2 linked regions of the Arabidopsis thaliana genome follow. The protein of the gene in region 1 interacts with the protein of each later gene in a pairwise test. Each region holds a gene or a part of one and is shown on either strand. Other genes may lie near its edges. The genes, in order: GATA3 and MYB52.

Evidence for each region.
Region 2: the proteins of GATA3 (region 1) and MYB52 interact in a two-hybrid assay, tested with the Arabidopsis thaliana proteins (one large-scale study listed by BioGRID).

The regions. Positions count from the first base shown.
Region 1 is NC_003075.7:16,551,052-16,555,502, forward strand, and holds GATA3 (GATA transcription factor 3), read left to right. Parts: upstream 1-2,093; 5' UTR 2,094-2,428; exon of another isoform or gene 2,429-2,643; 5' UTR 2,644-2,648; coding exon 2,649-2,930; intron 2,931-3,031; coding exon 3,032-3,559; 3' UTR 3,560-3,821; downstream 3,822-4,451. Other genes in the region: AT4G34690 (uncharacterized protein), read right to left, coding at 4,412-4,451. UniProt on the Arabidopsis thaliana protein: Transcriptional activator that specifically binds 5'-GATA-3' or 5'-GAT-3' motifs within gene promoters. May be involved in the regulation of some light-responsive genes.
Region 2 is NC_003070.9:6,175,574-6,180,074, reverse strand, and holds MYB52 (myb domain protein 52), read right to left. Parts: upstream 2,595-4,501; 5' UTR 2,312-2,594; coding exon 2,194-2,311; intron 2,074-2,193; coding exon 1,648-2,073; intron 1,218-1,647; coding exon 1,012-1,217; 3' UTR 786-1,011; downstream 1-785. UniProt on the Arabidopsis thaliana protein: Transcription factor that confers sensitivity to abscisic acid (ABA) and salt, but tolerance to drought. Regulates secondary cell wall (SCW) biosynthesis, especially in interfascicular and xylary fibers.

The sequences.
Region 1 (4,451 bases):
CAAGAATCATTAACTCAAAAACCACTTGCATTGATTACAGGACTTGAAACTCTCTCCCATTTTCTTGACGTCAAAAATGATAAAAACTACTCCATGTTTTATAAAAGATAAGAAAAGGGAAAGAGTGATGATGATGATGCGTCGTGAATCGACGAATAAGAGGAAAATGTGACACGTTCTCTTTTCCCCCATTACGCTCTCGTCACTCCTCACCAGCCTGCTCCCTTTTCAAACTTTTCTGTTTTCCCCCTAATTTTACGAAAATCAAAATAAGTTAAAATGGAATATATACCAACTTTCAAAATAAAAAATCTTCAAAACATATCAATGTGTATATAGCGACACGAGTATAAAGTCCCACACACACAATAAACTAAGGTTGGCAGAAAAAAATATACCACCAAACTAAGTGATCGTAACTACTCTTTCGAAAAAACCAAACCCTAATCTTGTTTTAAGACTAAGACCAATTATACTAAAAAGGAAAGATTTCATAATTGGAAGGAAAGTAGTATACTTTGATAGTTATTAAAAATAAAAATAAAATGTTCAAAAGATTTGGCTATAGTGGTTGCTTTGGTGAACTCCACTCCAACGGTGGTTTGCACCATCTCCATTCCCATCACTACCAAAAACCCACACTTCTTTTTTTTTTTCTTTCTTTGCGTAATGTGGGTTAAAAGGAACTTTATTTATGCTCTTGTTTTTGGGTGTTTGAATCGAATTTGAAATCAACATTTGTTTTTATTTTATTTTATTTATAAAAAATTTGTGTGTTTGGAAAGTTGTAAAAGGTTCAAGGGGTTTCGGTAGAGATAATCTTAATTTGGTTTTTAACACATCGACTTAATCCAAATTGACATCTCTAATAGGATTCAGATATTATTATATCTATCCTGTAATTTTCCATAAAATGTAATCAATATGAGATTTGGTATTAGGGTATGAACTTAATGTATCTTATCGGAAAAATGTTTTCTCCTTTGGGTTACCTAATCTCATATCTAATGCCAAAAATAGCATAACATAGAAGATTGGCTAGATCATATGTGGACATCACCGACTGCATGGCAATGTTTGTTTTATAATCGCGTAATACTTGTTTGTCATTTGCCAGTTCTCATAACAAATGCGAAAATAATCTTATATATCCTTGGTAATGCATGTAAAAATTAATTTTGCTTCATGAATTATTTTATATTCTTAAATTCATGACTGAATGAAATTTCTTATCTATATTCAGACGCAGTATATGGGACATCTAACTCAATTTTAAGATTCTAGATTGGATGATTTTATGTTGTTTGACAAAAAAAATAAAAAAATTGGATGCTTTCTATAAATTTCATGCTTTGTATTTTATTAAATTTTGAGCTATTATTGTATTAGTATAGAATTGAGCTATTATTGGATTGTTCTTATCACTTTGTTAATTTCATTTGGTCCTTTAGTTAGATATCAAAATTTTTAAAATTTTCAAAAAAGATCACAGGTTTAATCGGTGACTTTCAATAATACTAGTTTTAACACGACAAGCAAAATATTGTGCATGTATACTATTAAATTGTTAATGTTAGTACTATGAAATAACAAATTCATCACCATTGTAAAACTTAATGTTTCAACATTTCCTAAGAAGAAATGGTCAACCCTTTTGACAAGACAAGCTAAATTGGCATGGACAAGGAACACAGCATCATGATATAACCCTTCACAATAATTATAATAAAAACAATCAAATTTGTATTGAATAATGCGAAACAGACCTGACTTATCAATATGTGACGAAGGATAAGCCCACGCCAAAAACATCCACGTAAAGAACTCATTGATTAGGTCCAAAGAAATTTGGAGAAAATAAAACAAATCCTGACGTGAAAATAAAAAGAAATCATCACTTTTTTTTATCTCTTTTATTTTCTTCTAAATACAAAAATTGAATAATCAATTAATTTTTCATGTATGCAAACAATTTCTTAACAAGTCTTGTGAGCTTTAAATGAAATATAGAGGCGAGTGGATTAGACTTGATCCTGATCTTTTATTAAGCTGATCCATATTTTACATTGAAATAAAGGACACACCGTTTAACACGAAAATGAAGAGACAAATAAAGAAGAGGAAAAGCATTGATTCTGAAATACCAATATAGTATCATTCGTGAAAGAAGATTTTGTAATATTCCACAAACTTAGAAATTAGGGGAAAAGAAAACAAAAAAAAAAGATAGGAAAAAAGAGCTTTAACTTTTGGAATTGGAAGAAGCACAAACACACACAAAAAAAAAGTCTCTGTTTTACCTTTTAACCCCTTCAAGAATCCTCCTTTAAGTTCAGTGCCCTCTTACTTTTCTCTTATCGGAATATCTCTCTTCCTCTGTTTCTTCGCCATTCTCTCAGCTTTTCTCCTTCTTCTTCGTCTTTGTCAGGTAAAGAGATACGATGAGCATATCCCACATACCTCTCTCCTCTTCTCATCTTTTTAGTTTCTCGAAAGTTTGCATGCGCCGACTTTGTTATAGGTTATAAACTTTAGTTTTAAGCCTATTTTCGTATGTTTATGGTTGTTGTAATAGTTGAGAATTCAGAGTATGTCAAGTGAAACTTAAAAAGAATTCTATATGTATGTGTGTATGTGTTAAAGAGTGAATGGAGCTGTGGACAGAAGCTAGAGCCTTAAAGGCAAGTCTAAGAGGAGAATCTACTATATCTCTCAAACATCACCAAGTGATTGTGTCGGAAGATTTAAGCCGAACTTCTTCCTTGCCGGAAGATTTCTCCGTTGAGTGTTTCCTCGATTTCTCAGAAGGTCAAAAAGAAGAAGAAGAAGAAGTTGTCTCTGTTTCTTCTTCACAAGAGCAAGAAGAACAAGAACATGATTGTGTCTTTAGTTCACAACCTTGCATCTTTGATCAACTTCCTTCTTTGCCGGTAAATTTCTAAACTTCTTTATACCTTTTCTTTCTCTTCTTATAATCGAAAGATTTTAAGTTATATTTTTCTTGATTTCTTTTTTTTTGGGATATTTTTAGGATGAAGATGTGGAAGAGCTTGAATGGGTATCTCGTGTTGTGGATGATTGTTCATCACCAGAAGTTTCACTTCTCTTAACACAAACACATAAAACCAAACCAAGCTTCTCAAGAATTCCGGTTAAACCAAGAACCAAACGGTCTCGGAACAGTTTAACCGGTAGTCGTGTTTGGCCACTCGTTTCAACCAATCATCAACATGCAGCAACAGAGCAGTTGAGGAAGAAGAAACAAGAAACTGTCCTTGTGTTTCAACGAAGATGCAGCCATTGTGGCACAAACAACACACCACAGTGGAGAACCGGTCCGGTCGGTCCAAAAACCTTATGTAATGCATGTGGAGTCCGGTTTAAGTCTGGTAGGCTCTGCCCGGAATACAGACCGGCGGATAGTCCGACGTTCTCGAATGAGATTCACTCAAATCTTCATAGGAAGGTTCTGGAATTAAGAAAGAGTAAAGAGTTGGGTGAAGAAACAGGTGAAGCTAGTACTAAATCAGACCCAGTCAAATTTGGCAGCAAGTGGTAGATAAGACTTAGGTAAAACCTACTTTTTGTAACATTATCTGTAGTGTTGTAATTTAACAACTTGCTTCTTAACATTTTGAAACTGTTTCAGGAACTAGTCTTAAGTAAACAATGGTTTTCTATAAACAAAATTAATGTGTGTTTTTAATGATGTAAGACCACCACCACCACTACTAGTACTTGGAATGATTTTGGTCCATGTGTAGTGGCTTAAATAGACTTTTTGAGTAAACAAAATGCCAAATGGAAGAATCATCTTGAAAACTCCAACATTACTATATAGTATATATATTATTGATAAATCTTGAGATTCGACATATTTATTTGATAATCGATGCAAGCATAATTAATTTAGACATTTATTCAGCAAAAAAAAAAATTAGGTATGTAATTAATTTATACATATCGAATTACTAAAGGTTAATTTTCAGGCTAATCGTAGATAAACGATTTCGTTAAATCCCCATGAAAGTAAATTTAGGCAAATGTATGATGCTATGTCTGCCGCATAATTGTTTAATCTCACCATTTGCATATCAATCTTTAAGGGAAACATCCTTTTAATGTGTTTATGTGGCCTTGTCTCCGTTTTATTGCTACTTTGTGTCATACTCAAAATAAGTTGACTATAAAGCTACATGTATCTACACAAAAAGAGAGTTTATTTAGTATGCTTGCTTGGGAATAAGCAGGAGACAAAAGAAAACATCCAAGTTAAAACATGAAGCAGCAAAAGAGAGTGTTCATCCACAAAATGTGAGAGGTTTCTTAGCATATAAAGATATTGATATAAATCTAATCATTCTCGTAAGAACAAGAACAAAATGAAAGAGCCAAAAACTAAACCCATCTTTCACTTTTTAGATACGAGAAGTGCCACGATCTTTTGAAGA
Region 2 (4,501 bases), on another chromosome or scaffold:
TTTTATTCGTGTTTTCTTAAGCTAGACAAAGGTAGATTGCTACTTTTGATTGTATTTCTTGGTGGCTGATAACTACTCCCAACTTAATCATATCTATACTCCAACCTCGATTTCGTCTTTCCGTTATTAACTTATTATTATTCTTCACACAATTAAAGAAACTAAACCAAACTTTATTTTAGAAGTTAAAAGGCTCTCATAAATAAAACCACTAGTTTAAAAAAAAAAAAAACTTTTTCTTTTTTTGATATCATCATCACAAGTTATATGAGTCAAAATAGTCTGCATGAAATTATAATTAAGTAGTACTGTATTAAAAGGATGTTCATTTGGTGGTACATATATTTAGGCACCAATGACATATTTTCTTCGGTTAATAATCAAACCTTATAATATTTGATCTTCCTTAAGAACGCAACAACACAAAAATTATATCCGACGATTGCAAATTAAATTCCACAAAATATAAAATCTTGGTCTCAACTCTCAAGTCCTTCTATTACGATAATTTATAGATTAATCCGGATTCAGGACACAGAATTTTCTCAGTACATACGCATCTTGTAATTTAGACAATATATACCATAGTCCATAGCCAAAATGAGTATAAAGTGAAACTAGGCCAGTTTGGAATAAATTTTTGGTTTTACTTCAGAATTTCAGTTTAAGATTGGTTTCATGACAAACCTTTAAACTTAATAATGTTTTAAAATAAATTAACTTCTGCTCAATCCTTTTTATCGATTGGTCTGATTGAATTTCTGTAAATATGAAGAAAAAAAAATACCGAATGGTGATGAGTCTGATTAAACATCCTTAAAATAAAAATAGAAAATTAGACCTGATAAAGGTGGAAAAGTACAACCTTATATTTGTTATACAAGAACATGTTTGGGATGGCTTAACTAATTTTCACATTTGGCTCAAACAAGAGCTCTAATTGATTAGTACTTTCTACATTATCTTTAATTAACATATGGTCCACCTTATAGTACATGTGGTACGGACAAATTAACATAAACCCTGAGAGGCAGAGTTTCCAACAGACAAAAAGTCGAAAAATGGAACACAATTCTCGTTAGGAATTCGGTTGTTTTGATCGACATCTTCTTCTTCGTCTTTTCTTGAATTATCTATCAATTCGTGTATCTTCGAATCCGTGTTTACTTGAAGAAAATTGTAGAACTCCATCGGTCGTTTAGTTTGGTCTATTGCTCCTGACAAATTAATCCATGTCCAAAAGTTAGTTTTGGAAGTTACACAAGTATGTAATCGTACCCACATGCAAGTGTACATCCATATGCATGCATGTAACTATGAAAATCATGATCGTTTCATACTATCTTTACAAAAAAAATTGATCAAAAATTAATTTAGAGTTTACAGAAAACAATGAATTTTAACCCATATAATCTATACAAAAATCGTTTTTTTTTTTAAATCAAGTTGTATACGAATTAATGCACCATTACTCATTTACTTGCACATTAATATGACGAATGTACATGTTTTCTATGAGTTCGTAATTTATATATGCCTATATGTATTCACACAAAATACAATATACGTATGGCTACACATGTTTTATCTTTGTGCAGCTATATTAGCTACATAAACACAGAAATTCAAGCCATATTATCTAATTACCTTCTTGTATTGGAGTAGTACTATTTCTGAACCCGATCTTTCCGGTCAAGAACTCTTTGAGGACTTGAAAATGATTAATATGAGAGAATTGATAAGGAAAATTGATAGCGGTTGTGGTTGCCAATCTTCTCTCCTTATCGCAGTCTTTATAATTACCAATCATCCCAGTCGCAGCCACCGTGCCATCATGGCCAAGGCCTCGTGGACGGAGCTTGGACCGTTCTCGGCCACGACGAGCCATGATGACGTGCCAATGGTTTTTAACAGCGTTATCAGTTCGACCGGGAAAAAATCTAGCGATCACAGACCATCTGTTCCCATGGATCCGATGAGACGCTAAAAGCCTTTCTTCTTCTTCCTCCGTGAAAGGGTTTCGGTTAATCCTAGGATCCAATTGATTAAACCATCTCAATCTACAACTCTTACCTGAAACCAAAAGATCCAATCAAACCAACATATATATTTTTATATAAATATATTAAACCCTAGTTTATATATGCTTTGTAAGAAATTAAAGAAATGACTTTAATATAAAGTCAGTTTTACCAGATCGACCAGAGAGCTTCTGAGCTATGGCGTTCCAATTATGAGGACCAAATTGTTCGACGAGTTCTCTTAGCTTCTCGTCTTCTGCAGGTCTCCAATGGCCTCGACTACACATCATTTTTTAATACCTCTCTCCTTTTGATCTTTATGATCTTCAATAAATCACAACCTATATATAAATTTATATATGTTGTTGATATAGTTAAGAAACCCTAGGTTTGATGTAGGTGAGGGAAGATGGGTATGTAGGAACAAGAAGAAAGCTGAAGAGCAACAGCACCATACATACATGTATTTATATAAGTATATTTATTTAGATATTATATAAAGAATTGAAAGTAATGAATATAATAAGATTCGTTAGAGAGTGAGGGAAAGTTTGGAGAGAGGTTTTCACCGGCGATTGATGCCAACGTCTTCCCTAACCAAACACACTCCTTTTAAGTAATCTACCCTTTTTTATTTTTCCATTTATTTCGTAATTTTTATATACATTATTTTGGTTTATGTGAGAGTTTTAATAATTGAGTAATTGATGAGTAATGAAAAGAAAAAAGGAGATTACACAGGAGGGAAGAGATTGCTTGGTGGGGTGTTTTCGTTAAACTTTCAACGTCTACCCTTAAATATATTTTTTTCCAACCTAAACCCTCTACTTCAGCCACCAATACTTCATCTACGTTCGTATAACCTTTTACAAGCTACATGTACACATGTATATTAATTATTATGGTCAGCTTTTTATATATGGACAACTTCTAGAATATGAATCAAGGTGGGAGAACGCTATAATTAGTTAACTACAATATATGGTTCAAAGAACGAACATTTAGATTGCAAAATCTATAGTTGCATTTACCTGTTATGATGTTGTATTAGTGTTACTTTGAAAGAAATAAATAAAACTTACATTTGTTAGTGTTTAACTACATAAAACAACAATGTTACAAGCAATGAAAATCTCAAAAGTCTAGCTATGTATATTACATGTGGACAATATTTTCCAAATTTATGAAATTTTACATAACCGCAAATTAAATCAACAATAAAAAATAACTAAGGCGAACTCGTACGTCCAGAATTAAGGGGGAATGTAACGGTTATTATTTCAGGATTTGTGGATCGAACTCGATGACTAAATTTCAACCGTATTGCCTTTTGGTATAACTAATGGACAATTGTTACAAGTTTTAAAATGGTTTTATAACTTCGAAAATATCAATACATTGTTAAGAGAAAAATACTGGAGGGGAAGGAGAGAGTTTGGTAAAGATGTTGGGGACCTATGATTTAATTGCAGGTCACGTATAAGTAGAATAAAGTAATTAAATATCGTTGGATATGTTTTGTTAAACCTTTCAGACCTAACCAAATGTTTTATTTTCCTTAAATCGGACCAACGTGGAAACCCTAAAACGACTCTGTGTCTTAATTAATTAATAGGTTAACTGACTGATATATCAGTGGCTTTGTACTTTATAAAAATGAATTTGACATCTTATTTGCTCAAACATATATTTGGTCTTCAAGCACATCACCAACTTTCTCTCTTGTCTTGTCTACGACGGTTGGCTTTTAATTTGTACTCTCAGTTCTCTAACAAATTTAAATTGAAAAAAAAAACATGAAATGTAGCATTGGTTACCGACTTCTATTTCATGGTTACCGACTTCTATTTTTAACATTCAGATAAGATATAATAACATAGCCTAAATACTTAAGAACATTAAAAATAAATATATGAAATATAAATAAAATGATAGGAATAAGTTGAAAACCTGAAAAGTGATGTATTGTACTTCAAAGTTCAAATTTTCCTTGAGATTGCTTGCAAAACAGTTTATTGAATATTTATAAGGATTGATTGGATATATAGCTTATAATCCAATCAACTAATCAATTCAATCCTAGGTAAGCTATAACCAAACTGTTTTAGAACTCATTAGTCATTTGCACGTGTGTAGGAACAAAGCCAAACTTAATTACTGGTGGAGATTAGTAGGAAAATAGGCAGAGTTAGTTGGGAAGGAAGTCAAATACAATCTTTCACAACTAAAAAGAATTTCTTCAAATAAGATTTCTTCAAATAAAGCAAACCGGATCCTGATTACACTAAACCGGTTAGGTCTATCAACAAATTGGTTAATCAGAAAGCAAAAAGGCAAAGCAAGGATGACTATTGAATCATGGGGATAATTAATGAGCTTGCTGGTTACAGCAGTGGGTAATATCTAGTATATATGTACAGTAGTATGTATAGCATCATTGCACTCACATCAATTAGTGACCAATTTGGGATCATCTCTAC